Diceros bicornis minor: one gene and its partners. The protein of the gene in region 3 binds, or shares a complex with, the protein of the main gene of each other region. Links are inferred from orthologs where the notes say so. Each region holds a gene or a part of one and is shown on either strand. Other genes may lie near its edges. The genes, in order: TMEM17, TMEM237, TMEM231 and MKS1.

Region 1 (7,154 bases), on a different chromosome or scaffold from region 3:
TAGAAATGTCTCAATTCATTTTAAGGAAATAAATTGAATAACATGTTTACTTAAAAATATTGTTCCTAAACTTTTTATTAGTATCAAGTGAAAAGAATTTATATCTTTATTACGCCAAGGAGTAATTTAAATAACTCTCCAAATCAGTTTCTTGTCACATAAGATAATGTTATTACCAGACAACTTTGCCTCTTGTCAAAGAGACCCAAACCATTGCACTAGTCTCAAAATTTTTGTGAAAATGAATATTTAGGAAAGTAAATCATAAATGAAATTAAACTCCAATGAAATACATTAAACAATTATTGGAGAAGCAGCTATTACTCTGACCATCAACACTGGTACAAGAAGTAAACAGTTTAACTTTATAGGATTATTTATTAATCTTGCCGGGACTGATTCCCATGATTTTAAGAATGGAGACTCCCTACTCCTCTCTTCAGATTCTGAATATGTCTAGAATATGGGAAACCCAAATTATACTAGTCTTGACTCCATGAAAGTGGGTTCCCTTCTCTGTTCTTGAGCATTTCATTAATGTAATTGCCTATAAATATTGTGAGCATCAACCAACAAAATAATATTTCAAAAGCTTTTTGAGCTCTTTGGACCATTTGTGACATCAGTAACGGCAGGATTCTTTCTAAACCACAATTTTTTCCTCTCAAAACTCTTCTTTAATACAATTTTGCACCATCATTGCCTCTTTCTCTCAATTTATTTTTAATAAGATTTGTTTCAAACTATAAAATGCATGCTTATTATAGTAAATTTGAATAACAAATAAAATGAAAAATACCCATAATTCTATCAATTTTTTCCTCCAGGATTTTGATAGAATAATTGCAATCTGAATAAGGTGTTTCATATCTTTTTTCAATGCCAGGAAAAAATCTTTAAAGAAATTCACTCAGGCCTTTGATCAATTTGGTTAACATGCATGGACTGTTTTGTGGTTAATTCTACCCACTGTCTTTACTAGGAAAGCAATAGAGGTATGCCTCATAGGTACAGCTGAATTCAGAAAATTAAATGCTGGCATGATTTCACTCCACTGTAGGTGTTTTTTCTTCACAAACATCAAAGATGTCCATCATTTATAGAAGGATAAGTGTCAAAGACAGCCATCACTTATAGAAAGCCTTATTTAATGATATAATCTTCACATCAACCATAACAGTAAGTTATCATTATTCTCACTTTACAAAACAAAGGTCTGAAATCAATCGCATGGCTCTTATGGGGTAAAGTGAGAATTTTAGGAGATTCGAACCCTGCTCTCTCTGCTTCCAAGGACATCCTTTCCACTATAGCCCACCTCACCAGGATTATCATAATCTGCTTAACTAGGCCCTGTGATTGGGCACTCCAAATGCTCCCCCACCTTTTTTTCTTTTTAACTAATATCAATAATGTTGGAATTAATCTCTTACTGTATAAAATGTTATTTGTTTTTATGATTACTTCCCCAAAATAGAGCCTTAAAAATTGAATCATTGTATTAAAGGCAGGAGTATTTTTAAGGCAATTTGTACATATTGCTGATTGCTTTCCTGAATGAGATTCTTCAAATTATAACTCAATCAGCAGAGTATGAAGATTCCTGCTTCACTGTGCCCTTTATAAAAGTCTTGGTTAGAGCCAGCCCTGATGGCCTAGTGGTTAAAGTTCAGCGCTCTCCCCGTTTTGGCAGCCTGGGTTCATTTCCCCGCTGCGGAACCACATCACCCATTTGTCAATTGCCATGTTGTGCCGGCAGCTCACAAAGACTAACTAGAAGGACTTAGAACTAAGATACGCAACCACGCACTGGGGCTTTGGGGAGAAGAAAAAAATCTTGCTTAATTTAATAGACAATAATTGATTCTTTGTTGCTAAGTTAAATTTTTTTTTTCCTCTTGGCTGAGGAAGATTCGCCCTGTGCTAACATCTGTGCCAATCTTCCTCTATTCTGTACGTGGGTCACCGTCACAGCATGGCTGACTACTGGTGTTGGTCTGCACCCAGGATCTGAACACGTGAACCCAGGATGCTGAAGCGGAGCACGCCAAACTTAACCACTATGCCACCAGGCCGCCCCGCCCCCCACCAAATTTTTTTTGATTGCTATAATTCACTGCGTTTTAATATATCAATTCTCTTCTCTATAGAGTGAACCTTATATAAGGGCTGGCTAAGTAAGTCCTTGAACTAGAAATGGTAAGATATGGGAGTGGTCTTTAGACCTTTTATTCCCTTTATTCATTCAATAGTTATCCAGTTCCCACTCCAGGTCAGGCACCCATCCTAATGCTCAGGATAGAAAGATGAAAGCCCATCCCTGACCTCAAAGAGCGCGTGGACTAGCAAGAGAAACAGACACAAATAGACAGTTATAGTACAGCGTGACTAGCACTTCCAAAGTAACACAGAGGAACATGCTTTGAGAAAGAGAGGAGGGCACTTAAGCCAGCTTCACGAAGGTCCTGGAAGCCTTTTGGAGATGCTGAGGCCTGAGCTCTATCTTGGAAAGAAGCAGAAGTTAGCCAGCTTTTCCCTGACATCCCCAACCAGAACTAATTGCTTCCTCATCTGTGTTTCTTTACTCAAGTATATCGTACGTATTTGTTTCCATGTCTCGCACTCTTTCACCGGGCTGAGCTTCTTGATGGAGAGGAATATCCATAATTAGCCAAGTACAATGCCAAAAAAAGTAGTAAGAATGCAATAAGCATTCGATGAATTATTTTGAGATTCTAGCCATGTATCTATTTCCTCCCATGCCTTCCTCTTGGCATTTAGATAAATATGTACGGTTCCTTTGACTGTAAAAATAATACTGTTCACCACACACCCATCAGAATGGCTGAAAGGAAAGGACGGAAAATAACAAGTGTTGGTGATGGATTTGAAGCAACAGAAATGCACACACCATTGCTACAGGAAATAGAAATTGGTACAACCACTTTGGAAAACTGTTGGCAGTATCTATTAAAGCTGGGTCCTACCTCATAAGCCAGCAATTCCACTCCTGGGAATAAACTCTGCACAAAGGCATGCATATGTTCACCAAGATGTATATTTTCATCAAAAGCTGCACTATTCATAATAGCTCCAAACTAGAAAATACACAGATGCTCATCAACAGTAGAATGGATAAACTTATTGTGGCATGGTCACACACAGCAAGAAAGAGAATCTACACTCAACAATATGAAGGAGTTTCATGAAAATAATTTTGAGGGCAAAGAGCCAGATTTCTTTTTAAAAAGCACTTACTGCAAGATTACTTTTATATAAGGCATAAAAATAGACAAAACTATGCTGTCAGTAGTCGGGAAAGGTCATTTAGAAGTGGAGGGTTAGTGACTGTAAGGAAACAGGAAGGGGGAGATTCTCGGGGTGCTGATAACGTTCTGTTTCTTGACCTGTGTACTGGTTACATATGTATATTCAGTTCTGTATGTATATTATACTTAAATAGTTTTTTTAAAAAATAACACATCTTATTTGAGAGAAAGCTGGAAAATACAGAGATGTTTAAAAATTTAAATCACCCACAACCCACTATCCAGAAATAACCACTATTAACATTTTGGATTGTTTCCTTCTAGTCTTTTTTTGAAGCCACGGTGCTTGTGCTACCTACCCCTGCTCCCCACATATTTACACACGCACATTTTGCTAAAAGAGGTTCATTTCTATTTAGTTTTACTTTTGGTTTTTTATTTTTACTTAAAGTTAATCCATATCATCAAATATTCATTGCAAGCATGTTTTTTAAGCTGCTGCAATATACTCCATCAAATATATATACACATACACACACATACTATACATATAGCTCCCAAAAAAGAAGCTACTGGGTCATGAACATTCTTTAAGCTCTGCATTCGTTCTCTATTTCCTTCCAGAAAAGTTGCATCCCACTGGCAAAGTATGAGGGCTCCAACCCTCATACTTTGTATCACAATCCAAGCCCAGGTTATTTATTATTATTTCTATTTGTTTTTAAAAGGGTAAGGCTTAAAACAGGACTAACGAATCTACCGTTTTGCACCCGGCTGAGGCGCTCAGCAGGTACCGGGCCTCCGAGCACCTCTCCCTTCCAGACGCGCCGGCTAGCGACCCGCACCCGGGCCCCGCAGTGCGGCCGCGCGTGCACCCGGGCCCCCAGCCCTCGCACCGCCCGGTTGCCGTGGGAACCGCAGAGCGCGGCTGCGTCCGCAGACCCAGCTGTGAGAGGTTCCGAGGCCCGGGCATGGAGCTGCCGGATCCGGTCCGCCAGCGGCTGGGAAACTTCAGCCGGACCGTGTTCAGCGACTCTAACCGGACCGGGCCGGAGTACAGCGAGGGTCCGGGTGAGTGGCGAAGGTCCGGGTGTGGCCTGCCGACAACCTGGCGCCGGTTTTGGAGCGGCCAGATTTTGCCCGGACCTAAGATGGCGGCTTCGCCTTCAGCTGGTTCCCCGCAGTGCGGAAAGCGCCTTGGAGGAGAAGCCCGGATCCCCGGCGGGTCTTGGGCTGAGCGTGCTGCGGCCTGGCTGGCGGCCTGGAAGCGGGGCAGCTGAGCTGGCGCCGGCCTTCTTCAAAAAATAAAAATATAAAAGCCGCCTTCGCAGCACACATCCGCTCCCGCGCCCTCCGCGAAGGCCGAAGTTGCTTTTCCTTTGCGGGTCCGCCCTGGCTTTTCTGGCCAGGATGGAGTGACAACAGCCTAGGCAGTCTCCCCTTCCCACTCCCCACCCCCTACCCCGAGAAAATATCTTTTCCTTTTTTCTTTAGCTAGCAGAATAAGTACGTTCCACCACAAGTCCGTTTTGTGGCAGAAGAGATGGAAACAAGTTTTTAAAATGAGTCATTTTAAACCGCTATCCGCTCCAGAGTGGCAGCTGCCACACTAGCATCGCCTTCAACAAAACTCGCCCCCTTCCCTGCTTTCTCCTCCTCCTCTATATGTAACTCTTTCCCTAAATCTGGTAACAAAATACCACGATGCTACATTCAACATGACAGGTAACGCAGTTTCCTTCAAAACAGTGTCCTCCTCTTAAATCATGATGATAGACAACATACTGTCAACCAAACCCATGCGGTTTTTATCACTGAATTCTGTTGGGGATTAGAAATCTTTTCCTCTTGCTTGGTTTAAGGATTTTTTAAAAAGGACAGAGAAAAGTAAAGTCAATTCCCATAGTTGCGTTTTTTCACCCTGCTTATTTGCCTGTCCCCCAAATTTAGGCCTCTTCATGATTTAGGATGTACGGAGAAAAATGTAATGTGAAATATTAGGTTTTTACAGTTCTGATTCTAAAGCTAAAGCTTAACAGGCGGTAAAATCTGATGATGCAAGGTATCAGGGGTCAGCAGACTTTTTCTGTAAAGTGCCAGATAGTAAATATTTTAGACTCTGCAGGCCATAGGTCTCTGTGGCAGCCGCAGATAATGGTAATTGAATAAGCATGGCAGTGTTCCAATAAAACTTTATTTATGGACACTAAAATTTGAATTTCATATGATTTTCAGTGTCACAAAATATTATTCTTTTATTTTTTTTCCCCAACCAATTAAAAATGTGAAAACCCGTTTTTAGTTCACTTGCTATACAAAAACAGGCAGCTGGTTGGTAGTTTGCTTACCCCTGATTTATATAATGTCTTAATTTAAGTTCCATTTACAGAATTCAACTTGTACTTTTGCAAAATTTAGTAAATTCGTGTCTTGTGCTTTCAAGGTTCATTTACATATTGATTTTCGATTGCATGATTATAAGTTTGATCTGCTGAAATATAGACATAGCATAACTCTTAAGATGCTCATGTACAAAATTTCTAACATAAAAACTTCTTTGCAAAATTTGACTACAGTTTCTGCTCCAAAGGTATTAAATTTTTCAGCTTACCTAATTTATCGTTATCTTTCTACATTTTCTTCTTTGTGGATCTGAAGTAGGTTTGATTATTTGTACTGTAATTACAAGTGTATATCATTATCTTGTCTACAGCTGACCAAGAGTTGTACTGTTATGAATAAAATCCTAGGCTAGTGAGTTTCCTTCAGATTTAACAGATTTTAAGAATTGATTCCTTTGTCAGTGGTAATTTAATAAATAGGTGCAAGCAAAAGTAGATCATAATAGAATTTTTTAGAAAGTAGATCATAATAATCAGGCATATTCTTGGAGCTAATGGAAAACTTCTTGCTATGATAGACCATGATTATTTCTTATATTTTAAAATTATTAAATTAAATTATTAAATATAAAAATATTAAATATATTTTAAAATTATTAAATGACATAAAATATTCAGCTGTGGAGACAAAAGAATCAGTTTTTAAGAAATTTATTTTAGAGCCTTTGTAAATTCTTACATTTAGAGCAATTGATTTCAAAATATATATCTTCTCTTAAATTGTTAGAATTTAGTCAAATTTAGGATACCTTTGTAGGACTCAATTTATAAAATCAAATTCTTAATTTAGGACCCTTCTCCCTTACATAAAAGCAAAAGTGCTGTGTAATCAGCCTGGGAAATGAAACTCATGTATCACGAATGGCTACACTGATAATGTCCTTATGACAGTATGTTTTCATTAATTCATTCTTTCTGCTTTTGTGTATTTGGTATTTACCATGTGTAAACCAAGATGCTAGGTTTTATGAGGGTCTCAAATTTGGGTAGAACATGGTCTGTGCTTATAATGAGGCTGTGAATAAGTAAAAGAGAAAGAATGGGAACTAATGTTTATTGAGTGCCTACTAAGTGCCAGGCATGGTGGTAGGTGAAATAATTTATATTATTGCTAATCCTCACAAGTAACTTGGGAGGTAATTTTAATGTTACTATTTTACAGATGAAGAAATTGAAGCTCAAAGAGGTTAAGTAACATATCCCAAGTCTGGCATCCAGAGTTACAGGGGAGTTTGGGGAGTTCTGAGTCTACTTGGACTCCAAAGCTCATGATCTCTTCAGTACACCAGACTGTGTCTCGAGTGAGGGGTGTGTGGTTCTCTGCTAACACTTCTTATACACAAGTTAGAGTGATCTAAGTGCTGAGAGGGGAAACAGATATCTGCTGGGATAGGGGAATATGATCAAGAGGGGATTTATGGAAAAAGTGGCATTGAATTGGGTATTAATGAATGGGTGGGATTAGAGTATGCTGACTATAATT
Region 2 (7,734 bases), on a different chromosome or scaffold from region 3:
GTCCATGCTAATCTCTGTATCATTTCAATTTTAGTATATGTGCTGCTGAAGTGAGCACAAGATAGCTTTATATTATCCTTTCTCTATCATTATTTTTATGTTCATATGTTTTCAATGATTACTATATCAAGGTCTGACTCTCCAGTTTGCATTTCAGACAGTGGAGTCCATGGATATATTCTCTGAGTCTTACAGGCATTTAAAATTGTGTTCTTATTTTTATGGTAATCTAAACAAATGAACAAAATTGTTTCTGGATCATGTGTAAGGTCACCTTGTAAAGCAGTACTGCCACGAGATTCCAGTGCCTGCATTTATATTTGTGTTTATGATGCATTGGCAACGAGTTGTACTATTTTAATTGTTGTCGACAAATAAAATAAGAACAATGAATTTACTGCATTAGTGCTCAGTGAAGGCCAAATGACCTTCACTGAATGAACATCTCACAATAGTAGAAAGAGACGATATTAGGGTGAATTAGGTCATCATGAAGGAAAGGGTAATTGAAGTATGCCTAATTCAATAGAACTGGGTCAGAGCATCCTCATGTTGAAAGTGGTCATTGTGTATTGCAAAATAATGTCATTCTTATCAGATTAATGTTCATTTGAAATTTGTGTTTAAATTTAACTGGTAAATTTTCTTTGGTTTTATGTTGTATATTGTTTGAGAGCTTCAAGTGTTTAGATAATAGAACAAGATATTTTAAGTCCAAATGGGAAGTTGAGAGGATTGGTCTGTCTACAAACTGTTACTAAATTTTGTGAAAACTTGCCCAGGGAGACGTTAAGTAAGACTAAAGATAGAAACATAAGTTTTGTGGTTTAGAATAAAGCACATTTATTTGACCTAACTTTTCATAAATAGCTTCACAACCAAATGTAACAGCTGCATAACAGTAATCATAACAAGCTGCATATTATTTCTATTGGTCTCATTACTCGTTACGTTTGTGCTATCCATATGTTTCTATTTCCCCTGAAGGATGAAGATCTACAAGAGATGGAGGATTTAGCCCAAAAAATGGAGACTCAGTTTGGCCAGTTTTTTGATCACGTGATTGTGAATGACCGCTTGCAAGATGCATGTGCCCAGCTGCTATCTGCAGTTCAGAAGGCGCAGGAGGAGCCGCAGTGGGTGCCAGCAACGTGGGTTTCCTCTGATACTGAGCCTTAAGGAGGCCTTCCGCTTCATGCTGGAGTTTTAACAACGTTCACCTGTTACAGAGCTCTGGCCTAACAGCTGCAACCTAAAACAGCAGCATTTGCCCTGTTACAACGTGTGCAACTTAAAAGTGCTGCAGTTTATTAATTAATCTTATTTGAAAATATATTTGTATTGTATAGTTATGTAGAGTTACCTATTTGGCTTTTAGAAAAAAATGTTTTCCTTTACCTCATATGCAGCAATTGGTAGGAATATGAACCATGTTAAGTCACTGAATATAAGAACCTTTTATAGATTTCATATGGTCTTTGTACAATTTAGATAAAAGAGCTTTCCTAAATAAAATAAGTATTTAATTTCAGAAACTATATTTTACCTTATGAAACTTCTGTTTTATGAAAATGGCTTTCACTTGACTAACTCAGCAAGAAAGAATATACACAGTTCACACCTAACATCAAAACCTACAGAAACTGCACTACCCTCAGCACATTACACAACAGGCTACAAGGAAAAAGTCGTCTCCTGCTCAGAGCTGTAACAACCATCAATTTTCCTAAAAGCCAATATCTACATTTATGCCTAAACTAGGAAAGGGCAATAGACTTCAGTCCTAGAGACCAATATCTGAGAAAACCACAGGATGAGGATATTATTCCACGTAGTCTTGTTTTTCTTTCTTCCCTAGGTCTGAGACTTTCAGTCGCTTCTCCTGCACCTGTTATGTGTTTATCTTCTGCATCATCCTCCAACTTTCTCCATATCCACACCATCCCTCCGCTCGCTTTAACTATGAGTGTGTGCTTCAAAATATTTGTAGTTTATAAATTTAAAGTGAATATTATCTCTGTAGAAAAACCCAACCAAACAAAACGAAGAAAATTGTCATTTTTAATGATGCTTATGTGAGCCCAGATTTGATTTTATGTTGTGCTTCGAGAAAAAGGTTTCCCAAACTTGATTTACACAGTTGTGGGATGGAGGGCAAGCAACTGGAGAAAATTTGACAATTGCCTGTGTTAACACACACACACCCCCAAGCGAACCGAGCCGAACCCTGGGGCCCCGCGGCTAAACGCGTCGGTGCCCGCCTCCGACGCCCCGGAACGCGGGGCTGCGCAGAGCGGCGGCGGGCGGAGACCTGGCCCGGGCGGGGGCCGAGCCGGGCGCCGCGAAGCCCGCCTCCCGGGGAGCAGGCTCGGGCCGCGGCGGTTGCGCCGAGGAGCCCCGCGGGGAGGGCGCCATGAGGGCCGACTCGGGGGTCGGGCCGGAGGAGGGCGGCCCGGTGAGCGGGGAGGGCGCGGCGGGCCGGGCGGAGGGCGCTGCGCTGACAGCACCTACCCCGCGCGGGGCCCACGCCGACGCGCTGGGGCCCGGGCAGAGCCCCGCTCCGGAGCGTGCGTCCGCCCCCCGGAGCCCCCGGGCCGGGCCGGGCCGGGCCGAGGCGGAGGCTCGCCCCGAGGCCGGCCCCGAACTCGCGGAGCCAGGCGGGAGGTTGCCGGCGGCCGGGGCGCACGTTGCCATGACGACGCGGCCCGGGCCCTGCGGTTCCCGGGCTGCGGGCGAGGCCCCCGACTGCCTCCCCCCGGAGGGTCCGCCGCCGGGAGGAGAGCGCTGTTAGCCCTTTCTCCCTCCCGCCAGCAAATCACCGCAACCACTTGATGGCTACCCCTCGCCCGCCGGCGTCTCTACGCCCGGCCGCGCAGGCCCGACTCCGCCGCCGCGAGTTCCGCAGGGGCAGCCCGGGAGGGCCAGCCCCGCGCCCGGAGGAGGCCGCGGGCCCCAGCGGCCTGGGGGCGCAGCCCGATGGCGCACTGCGCCTGCGCGCGGCCGGGGGGCGGGGTGCGCGCCGGGGAGCGGGCGGCGGCCGGCGGCCGGGGAGCCGGCCGGAGACGGAATGGGGAGGAAGCAGGTGGTAAGCGAGCCTTAGTTACTTTTGAGTTAGGAAGATTTTGTGTTCGCTTGGGCCGTTCTACTTTTGAGGGGCGTAGAGGCTGGCCGTCTGGATGGGTGACACGTCATTTTTGCGGGACTTTTGAAACGTGGCGTTAACGGCGTGAACTGAGCGCCTGGGTAGAACGCCGGCCTTAGCATCTTCGGGACAATAGCGCTTTCGTGGAACTGTCGTTCTTTCCAGTCGAATTGTGACTACTGGACAGTATTAAGACAGCCTGCCGTGTCCTACTCTTGTAGCATTTGTGTTGCTACACTGTTTGAATGATGGATCGCTAAATGGGACAGTTGTAGAATACAAGAGTGTCTAAAATTTAACCCTTTTGAATCGGTGTCTTTTGCAAGCCGAGTGAGATACTGATTTCTAGGCATTTCTGTTTGTTTTATTTTGAAAGATTTCAGAATGCTTCTTAACTGTAATTTCTCTGAACTGCAAACACAACTTTTCCTATTCATGTAAAGTAGCATTTATAAGATTTTTAAAAAAATTCTTTCTGCCCTAAAATGCATTCTTCACGCTGTATAAAATGCTTAAAACCTCCGTGGTTTCCCGTTAAATTAAAAGAAAATCTAGACTCCTTCTCTTGGTCTTCAAGACCCTGATTTTAATCTGGTCCCTGCCTTGGTAACTGTCTGGCAGCCTTACTGGCCTTCTTTTATCTGGAATACTCCAAGCCCAATCTTCCCTAAACGCCTTTGTATTTGCTCCCCTTTGGCTCCTTTCTTATTCAGGTCTCAGCTCAAATATCTCAGAGACTTTTCCTAACTAAAGTGGCACTCCTCAGCCTCCCTCATTTATTACTATATATACACACACACACACGTATATATTACTGTAGTAATATACGTAGTAATACATATATGTTACTATAGTAATATATATATATTAATGTTATCTTCTAATACTTAACCACTAGAATGTAAATTCCATAAAAGCAGTCTCTCTGTTTTGTTCATTAGTGTATCCCTAATGCTTAGAACAGGGCCTGCCCTTTAGATAGAAAGGAATGTAGGAAGGAAGGAATTTTATATGACATTTAGAAATGGTGAAACAAATTTAAAATTGTCCATCTGATTCTCATCAGTATCTCCTGGGTTTCACTTGATGAACAGGGTTATCAAAAGATTTGAAATACATGGAGTAGAGATGCTCTAAAGCTTTTCTTACAAGCAGTTTTCTTCTTCTTTTCCCCCAAAGCGTCCTCCACGAGCCCTTCCACCTGTGCCAAGGTAAAAATAATTTAATTTTATTACTGCGTTTTAAAAATGTAAAATGAATAAAGTGAAAAAATTATACCATTACAAAATGATAATAATTCAGAAAAGACTTCTTGAAAATTTTAGGAATGGCTTCCTAAAAGTTTAAAGGTGAAAAATCCTTGAGTCATTAGTGTAAGTAACGGTTATAGTTAATGTTCTGGTTCAGAGCCTGACTGTTAGCGTGGTAGGATGATGGGTCCGTTCTGAGTGTTTAAGTCTCTTGTTTATCAGAATTCTGATCCTCTTTTGTTTGCTAGAATAGTTTCCGCAGAGTTTAAGCTGATTTTAATCAGTGACAAAATAAGAGTTCTTAATCTGTTTAATCCACTTTATTAATAGACAGTGGGGAATATGTATATGTTGGTTCAGAAAATATTAGGGTTATTTTATTGGCAGTCTTATTAAAGAGGTTATTACTTATAAATAATAAGCTAGTTTGTAAACTAACTGACTGTGTGAAAGCTAATTTTATTTTTAATTTGTAATGATTTAAGTCAAATTTCAGTCTGACAATATAATATATTTCTAATTAATAGTTTCTTTTTTTGTCTTTGTCCTGATTAAATTTGGTCGGTGTCATGTAAAGTGCTATTCAAGGTGAGTTAGTTCACTGTTACTGTAAAACTTTCTAAATGTAGTATTTGGTGTTCAAAAGTTAGTTTGATTCCTTAATGTTTCTCTTAAATTTGAATCTGAATGGTATAATTTATAATACTACAATATCTTTTTATCATAATAATCTCCTCTGACTGCCATTTTTTAATGATGGTTGATGTATAATATTAGTTATGTGGTTGATATTTGACCTTGCAAAAATAAAAGCACTCATCCCTTAATGGAGTCACCCGGAACCTAACTGCTGGCCATTTATAGTTCTGTAATAGGGACTGCATCTTTCTTTGTCTCACTGAGCCAGGAGAGACTGGGTTATGTTACACTAACCGCCAAGTCTCAGGGACTTAGTATCATACAAGGTTATTTCTGGGTAATATGGAGTCCATTGAAGCAACAATCCAGGACAGCTGCCTTTCACTGCCCCTTCACTGATGATGCGGTGATTCAGCCTACTTCCATCCTGTGGTTCTGCCATCTTAACGTGAGGCCTCCTCAGTTGCCACAGCAAGGGAAGAGAAAGCTGGAGGGTTACTCACTGGCTCTTTCAATATTTTGGCCCCAAAATGACACAGATCACTTTTGCTCGAAACCTATTGGCCAGAACCAGTCATAGGCCACACCTAAGTGCAGGGCGGGGGTGGGAGGGGTGACGAGAATATTTGGTGAGCCCACTTTCTGTGTCACAGTTTCTAACATTACTACCAGCAATGAGCTATTGGTGCCACGCTGTGGGCTCTCTTTGACTTTGTCAATTTCTTGCCTTCTTCTCCTAATATGTAGAAGTTGGCTGGACCCAGGGAAGAGAGGGAAAGTTCTTCCCTACTTCAAGTTCACTTTTGAGTGTTCCCTGCATTGAATTTTAGACAGCCTTTTCTGTTGTTGTTCTTTCTGTTTTGTAGATGATATTCCCCTTAGTCGTCCAAAGAAAAAGAAGCCCAGAACAAAAACCACACTAGGTAAGAAGTTGTTCTTTGTTGTATGGGGTCACATGTTTTTCCAGAACCTCAGATGTGATAAACATCACAGATCAAGTCCCTGCTGTGTTGAGGATAGAATCAGGGTCACTTTGAAGCGGTGGGATTCCTGGTGGTAGTGAGGGACAAGGCAGGGTTCAGTCTGAAGAGTGTCTAGAAGCATTCATGGAATAAAGGGTTGTGCCCCCTAAACTCTTACTTCCAAAACATTCTCTGACTCTTTGAGGTCTTTTATCCCTAGATAACATAAGTTGTCTCAAGCTGAGATTGGTTCCAGACCCTTGAACAGGATACTGGATTTAGAGACCTAAGGTTCCTGATCCCTCATTTCAGTCAGAGAATCTCTACAGTAGAGCGTGAGTCTGAAGGCAAGGCTGTATAATGCAGGTAGTAAAGCTCTAATAATGAGCAAGTCTTAGTTATGCACTAGTAATCCTGGATGTTCTATCAGTAACTCAAATTCAGCACGTCCAGAATTCATCTTCACCTTCAACAATAAATCAATTTTTACTTCTCACTTACGAATTTCTGTTAATGGGACCCCCCCACTCTCCCAGTCATTCAAGCTGGAAACCTCAAAGTCAGCCCTCTAACTGTTCCCTTCACTCTCCTGGCTGCCTCACAAGCTGACTTATTCTGTGGTATCTTTTATGTCTCTTTTCCCCCTTTCATCTCCACTGTCACAACTGTAGGTATTTAGATCTCTCTTCTCCCTGAGCTGTTGGGGTAGCCTCCAGCATTGCTCTGTACTTCTAGCTTTCCTCCACTCTGGTCGGTTCTGCCCACTACTGCTGGTGAGCTTCTTAAAGCTCATAGCTGATCATGCCTTCCACCTGGTCAGAAACTTACATTGGCTTATTGCCTGACAAATGGAGGAATAGATGGGGGGGGGAGAGAAGAAGAAAGAAATGGAGATGAGTGCATAGAGAGAGAAAGACATATAGACACAGAACAGAAAGAAAAGAGATGCAAAGAGACTTAGATTCACAAAGATACTCACTGAAATGCTAGGCTCTAAAAATACACTCACAGTTAGTTATAGACACACATATGGACCTAGAAAGGTCACAAGTGGAGGATGCGGTAAAGACAGTGTTGGGGGAGCAGAGGTGCAGTCTATCCCAGCTACCAGTCTTCCTTCTTGTAAAAAAGAGAAAAAAATTCAGTGCCCCAGACCAAAAAGGGGATATATTGCTAGGCTTTTATTAAAATTGTTCATTTAGGGGCTGGCCCAGTGGCATAGCGGTTAAGAGGCTGAGAATTCTTAAGGCATGAGACAAATAAGAGTTCTCTATGGTGACGGTTCTGTTGTGTTTTCACCTTTTTGAAAGTTCTGAGGCAATTTCTCCTCCTCCTCTTCTTTTGTTCTTTCTAGCCCACTGGCTTTTTTCTTCCTCAGCCTTCCTTATTCCCTCATTTATTTCTTTTCTCAACTTAAAGCCCAAAGTTACAGGTGAGGAGGAAGGAAATCAAGATTTGGGGCACAATCAGTTCTGTATGAGAAGGGGTTATTCTATAGGAAACATTCCAGTTCCCTTTTTCCTGTCTTTTTAAGACTTAGTGATCTCTGCTCAAGTTATCTCATTTTTCCCACTGTTTTTTTGTAGCTAGTGCTTCTCTGGAAGGCCTTGTTCAAACTGCTGTTCATAGGCCTTCTGAGGGCAGTGAGCTGCCAACTAAAGACCCCAGAGAACATCCAGAAGCTCCTGTTCAGAGGAGACAGAAGAAGACAAGGCCACCTCTTGGTATGTAGAGAAACCAA
Region 3 (7,567 bases):
TCCTACAGTTGAAATTCCTGATGGATGCTGTGGAATCTAGCTTCATTCTAAAGGTATCTTTGTTATTTTAAGATTGTGTGTCTGAGTAACCAAAATAGGTTTTTGTTTGCTTGTTTGTCTTTAATGAAGTGAAAAATCCTTTGAATTTTGTACCTAGAAATTATTGTTGTTGCATATAGGAGCACTGTTCTAGGTGTTCAGGAAAAGCAGTGAACAGAACAGACAACACCCATGTTCTGATGGAGTTTGCATTCTAGTTGGACAAGACAGAAAATAGGGGCCGGCCCCGTGGCTTAGCGGTTAGGTGCGCACGCTCCGCTACTGGCGGCCTGGGTTCGGATCCCGGCGCGCACCAGCGCACCGCTTCTCCGGCCATGCTGAGGCCGCGTCTCACGTACAGCAGCTGGAAGGATGTGCAACTATGACATACAACTATCTACTGGGGCTTTGGGGAGAAAAAGGGGGGGGGGGGGGAAGGAGGAGGATTGGCAATAGATGTTGGCTCAGGACCGGTCTTCCTCAGCAAAAAGAGGAGGATTGGCATGGATGTTAGCTCAGGGCTGATCTTCCTCACAAAAAAAAAAAAGACAGAAAATAGATATGTCGGGTAACGATAGGTGCTGTTTCAGGAAAATAAAGCAGGGTTGGAGACTAGAGTGATGGTGGGATAGAATGCTAATTAGGTAAAGTGGTTGGCATATTCTAGGAATAAGAAGGATCCACTTGTGGCTGGAGGCGAATGAGCAAGGAGGAATGTGTTAGGAGATGAGATCAAAGAGATCTAGAACAAAGCTGTGTGGCGCTTTGAATTCCATGTGAAGAAATTTGGATTTTATTTAGAATGAAATGAGAGTCAGTGGAGGGTTTTAAACAGAGGTGTGACATGATATGACTTTCCTTTTTAAGTGATCAGGTTAGCTTTTGTGTAGACAGTAGACTATAAGGGGTTGAGGATGGAAGCAAAGGGAACAGTTAAGAGCCTATTGTGATAATCCAGGTGAAGGATGATGTTGGCTTAAACCAAGATGGTGTCTGTGGAGGCAGTGGGAAGCAGTTGTGTTCTAGATATATTTTGAAGGTAGAGCAGACAAAATTTGCTGATAGATTGGATATGAGGTATGAGGGACAAGTCAAGTCAGGGTTTTTGAAAGGATGGAATTGCCATTTACTAAAATAGAGTGGAGCTAGCTTGAGGAGTGAGAATCAAGAGTTTGGTTTTGGATATATTAAGTATGAGATGCTCAAGAGACATATCCAAGTGAAGATGTAGAGTAGGTGAATGGATCTATGAGTCTCAGATTCAGAAGAGAAATACTGAAGCTATTGAACTGGATGAGATCAGCTAGAGAGTGAGTGAAAAAATGAAAATACCTTTTTTGCAAATAGAATTAAACACTGAGGGATGAAGATGGTTGTTCACCATCTGATTGTGAATCAGTGGAGGAGTTAGAATTGGACTGAAGATCCCTGCTTCCCTTTACAGAGCTGGTCATTGTGTCCTAGTCCAAGGCATGTGTACACCACCTTGCGCCTGGAAGAGCTTAGTACACTTCTCAGGGGAAAGATCCACCATTCACCCAATTGATAGTCGTGTCACCTGTTTCAATGATGTGCAATGTCTTTCTGTCTTCTATCTTTACCTACTTTCTTGATGTCTTTTTCCAGTTCACCATTCTAATTGGCTTCTCTGATCTGCCTTGATGATATGCATCACCTTCTTCGCCTATTGGGTCATTACATTTAGCTGATTGAATGTTCTAAGGACACTGGATGCCTTCCTTGAGGGGGTGGTTAGTTGAAGAGGTGAGTCAGGAGGAGAAATAGGATCATCAATATATGCAATGACACATTAACAGACTTATAACACACACAGAATAAATTTCAAATGTTGGAGAGGTGTGTGAACATGGATACTGAGGGATGGCTAGGGCAATGGGGGCTGACATAAAGCCAAGCAAGGCTTACCAAGAAAGACTTCACAGAGAATGTGAATCTTATGTTTCAGAAAGAAAAGTACATTTTCTAAAGGATAAACTTCCCTTAAAAGATAGAAACAGGGACAGGCCTGGTGGCATAGGGGTTAAGTTCGAGTATTCCACTTTGGGGGCCTGCCCCGGGGTTTGCTGGTTGGGATCCTGGGGGCGGACCTACTCACCACTCATCAAGCCATGCTGAGGCAGCGTCCCATATAGAAGAGCTACGACTCTATAACTATGATACACAACCATGTACTGGGGCTTTGGGGAGAAAAGAGAAAAAAGAGGAAGATTGGCAACAGATGTTAGCACAGGGCCAATCTTCCCTAAAAAAAAAAAAAGATAGAAACAAAGGCTGAAGTTGGAATGGGGAACTGGGAAGCCAAAGGTTCAGCAATATAGATAAATGCCAATGTGAAAAAAATGTTGCAAAGCCTTGAAGCAAAAATTCAGGAATTTTAAACTGATTCAAGAGACCCTGAATGGGAGCTTCTAGAAAGGGGTAAAACATGATTAAAATGTGTAGTTTTAAGAGAACAACTCTCTTTGATCTTGGAGGTAAATTGTATGAAACATGAGAAAATTATGGAAATGGAAACTGAGAAGTCAGTTCTCAGTCATGAATGTGTGAAAATGACACAATATACACAGATCTTTAGCATTTAAAAAAATCTAATATTCTCTTAAAGAATTGAAATAAAAACACAAAGACTAGCTTCCTCAAATCATGGAAACAGAGTAAATATTAGTATCTGTTTTTTTTTTTTTTTTAAGATTTTATTTATTTATTTATTTTCCCCCAAAGCCCCAGTAGATAGTTGTATGTCATAGCTGCACATCCTTCTAGTTGCTGTATGTGGGACGCCACCTCAGCATGGCCGGAGAAGCAGTGCGTCTGTGCGCCCCTGGGATCCCAACCCAGGCCGCCAGCAGCGGAGCACGTGCACTTAACCGCTAAGCCATGGGGCTGGCCCTTAGTATCTGTTATTATTAAATACTTTTGCAAAGCTCATGGCATCTCAGGGGAGGCTGAAGCACTTCATACACTTAAATTCTTTTTGTTTTGTTTTGTTTTTTTTTTTGTGAGGAGGACTAGCCCTGAGCTAACATCTGATGCCAATCCTCCCCTTTTTTTCTTGAGGAAGACTGACGCTGGGCTAACATCCGTGCCCATCTTCCTCTACTTTATATGGGCCGCCGCCACAGCATGGCTTGACAAGCGGCGCTTTGGTGCGCGCCCGGGATCCGAGCCTGCGAACCCCGGGCCGCTGCAGCAGAGGGCGCGCACTTAACTGCGGCGCCACCAGACCGGGCCCCAACACATACACCTAAATTCTTAGCAGTCACCTCCCTGTTTCAGCAGTGACCAAGTGACACTAGCTACAGTGTGTGTTTCCTGCTGAAAGAAGGACCTGTGGAGGGAAACACCTCCTTCCTCAGAGCCACCCTCACAATGCGATAGTAGAACCATTTATTCTAGAATCTTATTTTAATGGTTATTTAAATAAATGAAAGTCATCCACTAAACCATAGATAGAATATAATGTCAGAATCATAACATAGCTTTAAGCTAACAATTGCTGTATTTAAGAGCTGTGTTGCCATCCCAGAAAAGCTGTAAAGCAAGAATGAGTAGGACTAGACCAGATATGTCAAAAGCATCATATGGCCGATGACACTGTCACCTTGGACTATGGTAAGGGCCCTAGCTAGTTATCCCAAATGGGCAGATCCTGACCTCCCTCTGTCTGTGTTGTTAGGATCTCAGTTGTTCTCTTCATCTAAAAGCCACTTCTAGGTTGCCTTCAAAATAGGGGCATCAACTACTGGACTCCACTCTAAGCACAAACTTCACACTATCTCTTGGCACTGCAGTGTGATCCTTCAAGCCCTTTTGATGAAGAACTTGGCTGTGAACCATGGTTAAAAAAAAAAAAAATCCTTCTGCCATGCTCGAAATACTGGTTTGGGGGTTAGAAACATTCAATTAAGTGATAAGCCAATGTTATCTTTGGGGAGGACCATAGCTTCCTCTAAAACCAGTAGCCAGGCTTGTACCCAATACATGTAACAAAGTATAGCAGAGAGCTATGTAGTAATTATCCTTTATCCCACGAAGAGCTGCGAGATTTGTGTCCTGTTTCTATGTCTGTCCTACTATGGAGTAGAGTGAAAGCAACGAAACTTTGGAGACAAAGGGACCTGGTTTTTGTCTTATCCCAGGAACAGGTGGAGGATCACGGCCAGTTTATGTTCTGTGTGTTTTCCTCCCATGTAGGGTGTGCTGTGACTAGCTGGACTTAAGTATGAACCACATTGTGGATTAACAGATAACATACAAGCAGCTATTTACTGTAAGGCAACTTTTATGAAAATCTTCTTTTACACAAGTGTTAACACGGGCGGTGGCTATGATTTTGGTGCACGCAAACATTCTACCTCCACCCAGCCTTTGGAGAAACGCACGCAACGCGTAAAGCGGGTCGAGCGTCCACCAGCCCGCATCGCCCCCGTCAGCCCCGCCCCTACGGTGGCCCCGCTTCCTTGCTATTGGTTCCTTTCCCTGCGCCGTCGGTTGCCGTGGAGACCACAGCTATGGCAACTAGGAGAAGCCAAACTTAGTCGTTCCTCTCGAACCGCGGAGGGGTCCCGGGCGTGCGGCGCTAGTCCGCGCGGAGCTCATGGCGCTCTACGAGCTCTACTCTCACCCGGCCGAGCGCGGCTACCGCGCGGGGCTCTGCTCCAAGGCCGCGGTGTTCCTGCTGCTGGCCGCCGTGCTCACGTACATCCCGCCGCTGCTGGTGGCCTTCCGGAGCCACGGTGAGCCTGCCCCCGGCCGGTGCGCAGCACAGCCCCTGCGGCCCGCGGCGCCCCGGCCGGCCTTCCTGACTTCCTCCCTACCGCCCTCCCGCCTTCTTTACCTCAGGGTTCTGGCTGAAGCGGAGCAGCTACGAGGAGCAGCCGACCGTGCGCTTCCAGCACCAGGTGCTGCTCGTAGCCCTGCTAGGATCCGAGCGCGGCGGCTTTCTCGCGTGGAGCACGTTCCCCGCCTTCAACCGGCTGCAGGGGGATCACCTGCGCGTCCCGCTCGTTTCGGTGCGTGATTCCTGCCCTTTTCTAGCCCCCCCACCCCGGGGACTGGGCGGTGGTGGCGGTGGGAGGGAGGTAGCGAGCTGCCCGGCCTGAGCCCCCGGGGAGCCCAGCGTGGATCTTAAGGGTTCGCGAACCCATGGAGGTTGTGTGCACAGGCTCATTGGCCTAAGCCTATTTACTGGCCTCTTTTACTGGTTTAATTTACTGAGAGGTAAATTTCTCGTTTCATTCGACTTCTCCAAGCCGTCTCCAACCCCAAGAAGGTTAGCCACTGCTGTCAGCGTCTGCGTCCTGACAGAGTGCAGAAGCCTGGGGACAGCCTGTCGCTGGCCCCGTCCTTTCCGGGCCTGGCCTCATGGAAGGGTGGTCGGGAAAGTTCGTGGGTCATGAAGGCCGAGCAGTGTTCCTGTTGTAACCCCATCATGTCGCTGCAGTTGTGCATCGCACCACGGTGGGAACGCAAAGGGTAGGCGTTTTTATGAAGACTTGACACATGGAAGCCAAGGCGGTGATTGGTTCAGCGACCTCCCCAGAAAGTCGGGCTGGCCTAGTCCCTGAGCTTGTACCTTTAGATGCTGCTCCATCCTGCAGCTGTCTGGGATGAAAATGAAGCATTTTACTATTTGTAATTTAGTCTTTGGTTCAGGATAAGTGAGTGCTTCCTTGACAATCACCCCTTTCCGCACATTTTCTGAAAACGTTTTGCTTTGGAAGTATGAAAATTCTGGTTTTCCTTCTTCCAAAGTTGAATCTCTTTACACATCTCTGAGCTGATTGGCCTACAAGCCAGACTTGTGCAGCTGAAAACAAAAATTCAGACTTTTTTCTAGCAGCTAAATGAAATGAAAAAAAGTTTTAAACCTTATTGTTATATGAATAACTACAAACAAAATATGATTCAGATTACTTTTTTTCTGGTTACTTTACGTTTTCTTATATTTTTTTTCTGATTATAAAAATGCATGCTCATTGTAAAATATGAAAAAGTTACAGGTATACAGAAAGGCATAAAATTAAAGGCTTAGTTTGGTACATGAATCAATACTTGTTAATTAACCTTATTCTTTTTAAGGTCTGCAAAGTATTTCATAATATAGAAAAACCATGATGGATTTAACCACTTCCCCATTGGTGGATATTTGATTTGCTTTTACTTTTTCACTATTAGAATATTGCAGTGAGTAAGATTTTGAATTGGAATGGAAGCTGTTGGTTGAAATTGTGTAAGTACATGGAAAACTAAGCAAGCAAATAAAACAGTAACTCCAGAGAAAGAAAAAGTAAGGAACAGTGAGAAAGGAAAAGTAATCAGAGTTGTGAATGGTATTTACGTAGTCATAATTATATGAACACTGAGTATTGACTAACCAAAAGAATGGGAAGGGTGTGTGTGTGTGGGTGTGGGTGGTGGGGGCTGGTGGGAGGTGAGGGGAAGAAAACTAAATCTTCATCTTTCCTTGTGGGAAGTCAATAGAGAATGCCTGAAACTGAGAAATCGAGAAGTGCCAATTCAAATGTTAAAACATGGAGATACGTTTCTAAATAATGAGGTAAATGAGATGAAAATATTTGTTATGGGAGTGGAAGTCTGTTTTTCTAACAAATATGGTTGAACACTTTGATTCTTTAAATGCTTAGGTCTTTTAAATTGATTTTAAAAATAGAACTGGAGTAGGAGACATTTCTTTCAGTAGCTCCTCACTAATCATGACATGTTGCCCATTTTTATTATTTGAGATTATAATGCCTCTTGGGAAGGGTGACTGGATGAGAGGCCAGTGTTGAGGTATGCTTACTTTTCATTGTGTACCCAGTGTACTTCTGGTGTTCCATGTGCGTGTGTTTCATTTCCAAAAATGGAAACAAAGGATTTTTTATTCCAAATAAAAAATTAACTTGTTTGGTTTACTTTAGGTTAGCAGTCCCTGTCTTAAATTTTTTTCTTTACATTTGTATATTCCTCTCTATCCTATTCTTCTGGTTACTTGAGTCTAAGAAATAATCATGAAAATGTAAAATAATCATGAAAACAGGGATATAGCGTTAGGTTTCGTTCATTCGTTCTTTTCACTTGTTCATCCACCACAAGTGGTTGGCTCCCCGGTTGGACCGCTGTGTTAGCCTCTTATCTCGGTAACCAGAAACTGCTCCCTTGAGAGCATTGCCCATGTTCCCCCTGCTTCTGGTGTGTGTGAATTCCGATTTTAAATCTACAAAGCCAAGACTACCTCTTTTTTTTTTTTGGTGCCCAGAACCGTTAATCCTTTCATACTGGGTAATTTTTGTAAGACACAAAACCAAAGCTCCTTTTTCTTAGTTTTTTACCCCTTCATTCTAGGCCAGTGCCTATAAGTAATTTATGGCCTTGTTATCTACAGTCTTTCTCAATAAATGCTTTGCTTCCTTCCTACCTGAGCTCTTGGTTTGAGAATAGTTTGAAATCATGAGATACAAGAAATGAGAAGACAGTGGAAGTACAGACCTCAACAGCAAACCAA
Region 4 (7,237 bases), on a different chromosome or scaffold from region 3:
AAAACATACATCTTACTTTCCTTGAATACAAAGATGTTTTCCTTATCAATTTTTAGTAGTTTTAATCACATATTAGAATTTTTAACCCTTATAGACCTTAATTTTTAGTGAAAACTGAGAAGTAAGCAATTATAAACTGTCTTTTACAGTAGCATTCTGTGGCTTGGCAAGTTTATAAACACTTTTCATAATTTCTAGAAACATGCTACTTCATAGTACAATCTTTTTTTGTGTATGTGAGGAAGATCAGCCCTGAGCTAACATCCATGCCAATCCTCCTCTTTTTTTTTTTTTTTTTTTTGCTGAGGAAGACTGGCCCTGAGGTAACATCTGTGCCGATCTTCCTCCACTTTATGTGGGATGCTGCCACAGGATGGCCTTACAAGCAGTGCATCAGTGTGCACCCGGGATCCAAACCCAGGCTGCCAGCAGCGGAGCACGTGCACCTAACTGCTACGCCACGGGGCTGGCCCCCAGTACAATCTTTTAATAAAACACAAGACATGTTTTCTAAAAGACCTAAACACTTTTTAGTTTCTCTGTAATAAGAAGCCAAAAGTAGATGAACCTATATTAATAATTAACATCTAATATTTTATCTTATTTAGAAACGATCTTGATATTCAGTGAAATTTCCATCATTTAATTTAGCCAAGCAAAACTTCAAAATTTCAAGTTACTAAAGAGATTTTGGAAGTTATTTTAAATACTCATGCCATAAAATATAATTATTGCTAAAAGTTTATCTATAAACTCTTATCTCACTTACATCTAAATCATTTGCTCCCAACAACTATGTTTAGATTACCCACGAAAACTTCATGAGACATTAGACAAAATTAGCTTATCATTTTAAGCTATTATTTTCCTGACAAATTTTTAACAGAGATAACATGAGCTTATTTTTTAATTTTATTTTATATTTTTGCTGAGGAAGATTCACCCTGAGCTAACATCTGTGCCAATCCTCCTCTATTTTGTATGTGGGTCGCCGCCACAGCATGGCCCCCAATGAGTGGTGTAGGTCTGTGCCCAGGAACCAAACCCAGGCTGCTGAAGCAGAGTGCACTGAACTTAACCACTAGGTCACAGGGCCAGCCCAACATGAGCTTATTTGACTAGTAAACCCAGGCTGCATGTCTGCATGATATCCAACGCCGATAACTCTGAGGACATGTTTATTTCAATCAAACCAACAAACTTAAACAAGTTTGCATTTACCAAAGATTGTTTTATATCATGTTAACTTGAAAGACATTTGAATTAGTTTCTATTACATTTAGAAATAATTTATGTAAGTGCTTACTTTAAGCCAATTAAACAGAGCTCTTAATCTTGGCCATAGCTTCCAGAGGTAAAATATCACACATATATAATATACATATAGACACACATACACAAAGACTCCACAGCTACTGTTTTAAAACTTTAGGACAATGTACCACACCTTTAAAAGTCTGCATAAAGCATTTAACAAAGGCCTTCTTTCTAAGTGTACAATTTAATCCTAGACCAATTTACCTTGGGTGGGGAGGAGCTTTTATTACCTTTTTTTTTTTATTAGCACCTGATATTAGCCTCTAGTTTTTATCTCATACAGTACAGGCTCAGGCAACTCTATTGACTTCCCTTTAGTATATTTAATTAACATTGTCTGAAGGGCAGATTTATATGCTGTCTTACAATCAGGCAGGGGAAATGTTCCCCAGTAAGACAGGATGTCTATCCCCATAATACGATCTATAATACAATCAGGCAAAAAGAGATGCAATCACTTCACATAAAGCCCATAAATATATCAATTTTCTACAAAATTTCATCTGAATTCCATTAACTCTTATACCTCTAATGATAGTTCCATTAGGACTTTATCAATAGGTCTCAGTCTTATAATATTGGAAGGGGAAGTGTTCCCAGCCAGATATAACGTCCATTTTCAAAACACACTCAGGCAAAGTTGATATAGCCTCTGTACAATATTAGCTCAAACACTTCAACTTCTATAATCTCATCAACACTTATATTTTTACAGTTTCTCAATTTAATTGTAACCTGAGTCAGGGTCTGAAGGCTAGTCATTATTTGTTTTGTATTTCATTTTTAATTTGGTCTTTTCATAGTTACCAATAAAACAATTATGATGAGAGTTCTCAAAAAATGTTTTATAATTTAGAGAAGTTTTTCCAATTTAAATGATCCATCATCTGGCCACATTGAGGAGGAGGATCTTAATAGCTACTCAAACTGATACTGAACTTCTTAATCTCAAGTTCATGTGCCTGGTGTGCAGTAAACCAATCGCTGAGATATCAGTGCTTGGAGATGGAGAAAGGTTTATTTGAACTGGCCACACGAGAAGTCAGGAGGATAGGTTCTCTCAAATCTGCCTTAAGAGAAGAAAGCAAGGGATTTTATAGAGCTAAGTGGCTTGGCAGGAGGAGTTTCAAAGAAACAAAGGAGTAATCCATGTTTCTTTCACTCCCGATAAGCCCCTGGGCAATCTGACTTCTGGGTGTCCACAGCAGCTGGGGGCTGGTTATCTGCGGATCCTTGAAGGCATTCTTTTTCTTCTGTAAAACAAGCTCATAAATCCTTGTGATCCTTGAGTCACTCCTCAGGTTAAACAAGAAAACAGCAAATTGACAAGATTAACTTATTTTCATCTACGCCTGTGTTGGGAACAAGGTTGAAAAGTAATCTTATTGAATATTTACAGTAACCCTCAAGTACCTGGCTTCAAAACCAATAAGCCTTATGGCTTAACCATGGACACGGAGCCATCCCCAAAACATAGTGCAAAAGAAGCAGCCCTCACAAGATCCAGAAAGTTCATTCACAAAAATACTAAGAAAGCAAGGGCCTTCATTGCCCAGGCAGTAAGACCAGCATTAACAAGCCACAAAGGTTGAGATGACAGAATTCCCTTATGAAAGCAAGTGGGATGCCTTATGACAAACCCCCCTGAGAGCTGATACAGCCAGACAAAGAGAGTGCATCTCAGACCCCAGTCTACTCGACTGATCGCCAAGATGCATGCCAGTACCTGCATCTTCTGAATGGTGGAGACCAAAAAGGTCACAAAGCCAAGCTCTCAAGACATAGACACAAAGACAGAGACAAGGAAAAATAGTGACTATCTCTGGGAGGAAAAGGATCAATAAATAAATCAATGAGTACTCAAACCAAATTTCCCAGAGTCGCTGAGGCCAAGAAGCTAGCTTCACCAATATTTTCTCCTGCTAATCTAAATTTAGAAAAGGAAAAACACTCACCACTTTCGCTTCCATTGGACCATGCAGGCAGAGATCCGGGAGACTGACCTGGAAAGAACTCTTACCTCCTGCCGGCTCTTGTCAGGGATCCAGGATCTCTCTCAGCTGCAGTAGTCCAGGAGCAAGCAGCCTCCAGCCAGTTAAGTTTTGCCCCATCCTGGTCACCAAACTGTGGGGGAGGAAGGCAACGTACATGGTGATGGAAAAGCAAATGTTGGATAAGCAAATGTTTGCTGGGCCATCTACAGACAATGAGACACGGAAGCGATCTTTTGAGAAAATGGCCCTTGCTAGATGCCTTCCTGTCTACCACACCTAGAATTATCTACAGTGAGAGCGCCTTGCTGGGACAGGTCCTTCAATCTTAAAGCCTTTTAGGCAATTAGGGGGAAGGTCAAAGTTTCCTTTAGGGTCTTTTGTCCTTCAAAATAATCAAGCCAAAGAGACACATTTTGGGGTGGCAAATTCTGATTCCCCACAGTGCTATCACCTTACGTGACTTTTTTGGGAAAAATGGGTGCTTTCTGTGAGTCACATCCACCGATTTTCAGGCCAAAGTTTCCGATCACTCAGTGGAAGGCAGTGTGATGTGGTGCAACAAGTAGTGTTTGAGAACTCAGGACACCGGGGTTTGGTCCCCATCACCATTTCTGAATCTATTTGAAAGGGGCCGATGGCTCTGCCTTAGTTTCCTCATTTGTAAAGTGCATCAAGTCCAGCCTTGGGTGTGAGCGACCTTTGTTCTCACGCGCTGCAAACGGTGGCTCGCAGGACCCCAGCTTGAGCGTGCACACACGCTTCGCCTGGCCTAGGCCCCTCCTGGGGGGGCTGCGGCAGCGCGGCGCCGCTGACCGCGAGTTGCGCGCGCAGAGCCTCCACACCTCACCAGCCCAGCGTCTCCGTTGCTGGGGGAACGGAGCGACGCGCTTTCCGGCGCAGTCGCGGCGCGTCGCAGCTGTCATGGCGGAGGCCTTCTGGAGCACTGACACCGGAGAGGCCGTGTATCGCTCTCGGGACCCCGTGCGCAACCTGCGCCTCCGGTAGTCGCATCGCCCTACCTAGAGCCCCGTGCTTTTATGCCCTTAGATAATTCGAGCCCGAACTTCACTTCTCGTTTGCTGAGGCACGCACATCCGCCTACAATCCTGACCACTGCCTCCCCATTCTCCTCGCGTCGCCCTCACTGCCCGGAACCTTCCGCACTCACAGCTTCCAGACTCTCCGAAGCCCTTTTAAGACCCTGCCTCTCCCAGATTCCTCGGAGCTCTGTGTCCCCAATACACTCTGTCATTCTCGCCCTTCTCCTTAGGACCCCACACCCCGCTTACCTCCCCCTCTGTTGCCTGCACCCAGTACACCTTGGTAGCCTCACCCTCTTCTGTGTTTTGTTTCCATCTTTGCTCTGTGTTCATCTCCTAGTTGTATGTCTTGTAACGAGTATTTCGGGTTCCCTTTTCCTGACAGAGTCCACCTGCAAAGAATCACATCAAGCAGCTTCCTCCATTACCAGCCTGCTGCCCAGCTCGGGAAGGACCTCATAGACTTGGCCACTTTTAGGCCTCACCCAACCGCCAGTGGGTGTATGGTGGTGATGCGGCCCCTTGGGGATCTGGAGAAGTGCCTGGGGCGGTAGTTACCTCTTAAGACAGAGTAGACCCAGGTCTCTCATCTGAGAAAAGGCATAGATAGGTTGGGTTCCTTACCAAGGGTCACTCGGCTGGGTAAATGTTGAAGCCAGATTTAATCCCAGGCAATTTTAACTACTCCATTATGTTGAGTATGACAATTGAATATGACATGATTCCTGCCGTCAAAATACTGATCTGAATTGTGGTCAAATATAATAAAATAACAGAGGCCATACTTTAGATATGTTATAAATCTGCCTGGAAACGTAAATACCATTTGTGGCATTTTTTTCTAAGAGAAAATCTGATCCAAATACTTTGTAAAACGATGTTAAAATTGGGGTCTGCTTGAAAGATGTACATATTAACATCAACTGCCCTCTTGTGGTTTTCCTTATTTGGGAAGCCAGAAGAGTGAGGAAGCGAGGACAGTGTGTTTGTGTTGTCACTATTCTCTCTGCTTTTATTGTTTCTGTTCGTATATATTCCTGGACAAAAGTATGGGCTGATGGTTGTGAAGCATGTAACTCTGAAAAAGGCATACCCAGCCAGGAGTGTATTAGATTTGGTTCTTTTTTTTTTTTTTTTTGTGAGGAGATCAGCCCTGAGCTAACATCCGCCAATCCTCCTCTTTTTTTGCTGAGGAAGACGGCCTTGGGCTAACATCTGTGCCTATCTTCCTCCACTTTATATGGGACGCCGCCACAGCATGGCTTACCAAGCAGTGCGTCGGTGCGCGCCCGGGATCCGAACCAGCGAACCCCGGGCCGCCGCAGCGGAGCGCGCACACTTAACTGCTTGCGCCACCGGGCCGGCCCCAGATTTGGTTCTTTAAATAATCATTTATTTGCCTTTCCTCTTCTTGCCTGATACTTGGTCTCCTAAGGGTAAGTGCTTGTGATTCTAGATATATGGCTTCAGGGATAGTAAGGATAACAATGCCAGGGTTCCTTTCTAGCAAATGTAGACAGTTGGGGTTGAGGAAGAGCTCTTCAGCCTATATCTAAATTTCAGCTCCTGACACTGAATTAGATTAAATAATTCCTGGAAGGCATGACTCATTTTTATTCAAATTAGAGTCATAATTAAGACTTCTTGGGTCCTAATCCTGGCTTCTACACATGTCCACAGCCTCTCTAACCTTTGTGTAGAGTGAGTGCTTAATAAATTGCTGAACTCCACCTGGTTTTGTGGCAAATATTAGAGCAGGGACTTTGGTTATAACCAACCACAGAGCAAGAAGTAGTACTGCTTTGGCTCAAACGTTTGACGCACTCTGTTGTCTTTGGAGGTGGACACCGCCCAGATGAAGATGAAGAGGAGGAGGTCGTGATTGGGTGGCAGGAGAAGCTCTTTAGCCAGGTAAGCTGGTGTCACTTGTCTGCTAGGTCTACCTCCACCTGGCTGTAGCAGGGAAGGATCTTTGATACATACTGCCAAACTGATTTCTAGAAAGGTTGTAGCAGTTTATATTTTCCCCTGTTGTGTTTATAGGGGCAGTGTAACATAGTGACTGCCACTACCCAGTTTTATGATCCTGAGTAAGGCACTTTTCACCTCTGGGCCACGTGCCGTCTGTAACAGCAGAGTTAGATGAGACCATCACCCTGGTTCCTTTTAGCTCTAACATTCTTTGGATCCCCTGCCCTCCAGTGCTTTAGATAAATTGAGAGTTGGCTACGAAAACATGTCAAATTGCATTAGCTCTATAGAACTGATTTGACTAAACAGTTATAGGAACAAAAGTTTGACATATTTGGGGCCTGCCCCATGGTGCAGTGGTTAAGTGCGTGCGCTCAGCTTCCAGGGCCCGAGGGTTCACAGGTTGGGATTCCGGACGCGCACCGAGGCACCGCTTGTCTAGCCATGCTGTGGTGGCGTCCCGTATAAAATAGAGGAAGATGGGCACACATGTTAGTCCAGGGCCGGTCTTCCTTGGCAAAAAGAAGAGGATTGGCATGGATGTTAGCTCAGGGCTGATCTTCCTCACGCACACACAAAAAAGTTTGACATATTCTCAGTAGATCTCTGTCTCATTGTGACCTCAGTTTGAAGTAGATCTGTACCAAAATGAAGCAGCCTGTCAGAGCCCTTTGGATCATCAGTACCGTCAAGAAATCCTGAAGCTGGAGAATTCGGGTGGCAGGAAGAACCGACGAATCTTTACCTACACTGACTCTGATAGATACACCAATTTGGAGGAGGTATTGTTCTTTCGGAGGTCCCATAGCTTCCGTCTCCTTTCCCTCCCCTAGCTTTCTGGCCTCACTGGGTTCTGTGTGTTAAATTAGAAGCCTGTTAGGGAGAAACAGACAGCCTGTCGAAGAACTGCCTTGT

Evidence for each region.
Region 1: TMEM231 (region 3) and TMEM17 share a complex: the UniProt entries of both Homo sapiens proteins name them as parts of the tectonic-like complex. The link is inferred for Diceros bicornis minor from reciprocal best matches to the Homo sapiens genes TMEM231 and TMEM17.
Region 2: TMEM231 (region 3) and TMEM237 share a complex: the UniProt entries of both Homo sapiens proteins name them as parts of the tectonic-like complex. The link is inferred for Diceros bicornis minor from reciprocal best matches to the Homo sapiens genes TMEM231 and TMEM237.
Region 4: TMEM231 (region 3) and MKS1 share a complex: the UniProt entries of both Homo sapiens proteins name them as parts of the tectonic-like complex. The link is inferred for Diceros bicornis minor from reciprocal best matches to the Homo sapiens genes TMEM231 and MKS1.

Annotation. Positions count from the first base shown.
Region 1 is NC_080751.1:24,967,960-24,975,113, forward strand, and holds the start of TMEM17 (transmembrane protein 17), read left to right. Parts: upstream 1-4,137; 5' UTR 4,138-4,240; coding exon 4,241-4,340; intron 4,341-7,154. UniProt on the Homo sapiens protein: Transmembrane component of the tectonic-like complex, a complex localized at the transition zone of primary cilia and acting as a barrier that prevents diffusion of transmembrane proteins between the cilia and plasma membranes.
Region 2 is NC_080749.1:79,490,053-79,497,786, reverse strand, and holds the start of TMEM237 (transmembrane protein 237), read left to right. Parts: upstream 1-4,734; coding exon 4,735-4,742; intron 4,743-4,969; coding exon 4,970-4,980; intron 4,981-5,897; coding exon 5,898-5,954; intron 5,955-7,579; coding exon 7,580-7,717; intron 7,718-7,734. Other genes in the region: MPP4 (MAGUK p55 subfamily member 4), read left to right, coding at 988-1,179. UniProt on the Homo sapiens protein: Component of the transition zone in primary cilia. Required for ciliogenesis.
Region 3 is NC_080771.1:25,997,466-26,005,032, reverse strand, and holds the start of TMEM231 (transmembrane protein 231), read left to right. Parts: upstream 1-4,555; 5' UTR 4,556-4,657; coding exon 4,658-4,796; intron 4,797-4,902; coding exon 4,903-5,072; intron 5,073-6,237; coding exon 6,238-6,292; intron 6,293-6,536; coding exon 6,537-6,619; intron 6,620-7,567. UniProt on the Homo sapiens protein: Transmembrane component of the tectonic-like complex, a complex localized at the transition zone of primary cilia and acting as a barrier that prevents diffusion of transmembrane proteins between the cilia and plasma membranes.
Region 4 is NC_080757.1:29,467,798-29,475,034, forward strand, and holds the start of MKS1 (tectonic-like complex member MKS1), read left to right. Parts: upstream 1-4,223; 5' UTR 4,224-4,232; coding exon 4,233-4,312; intron 4,313-4,736; coding exon 4,737-4,846; intron 4,847-6,191; coding exon 6,192-6,262; intron 6,263-6,948; coding exon 6,949-7,104; intron 7,105-7,237. UniProt on the Homo sapiens protein: Component of the tectonic-like complex, a complex localized at the transition zone of primary cilia and acting as a barrier that prevents diffusion of transmembrane proteins between the cilia and plasma membranes.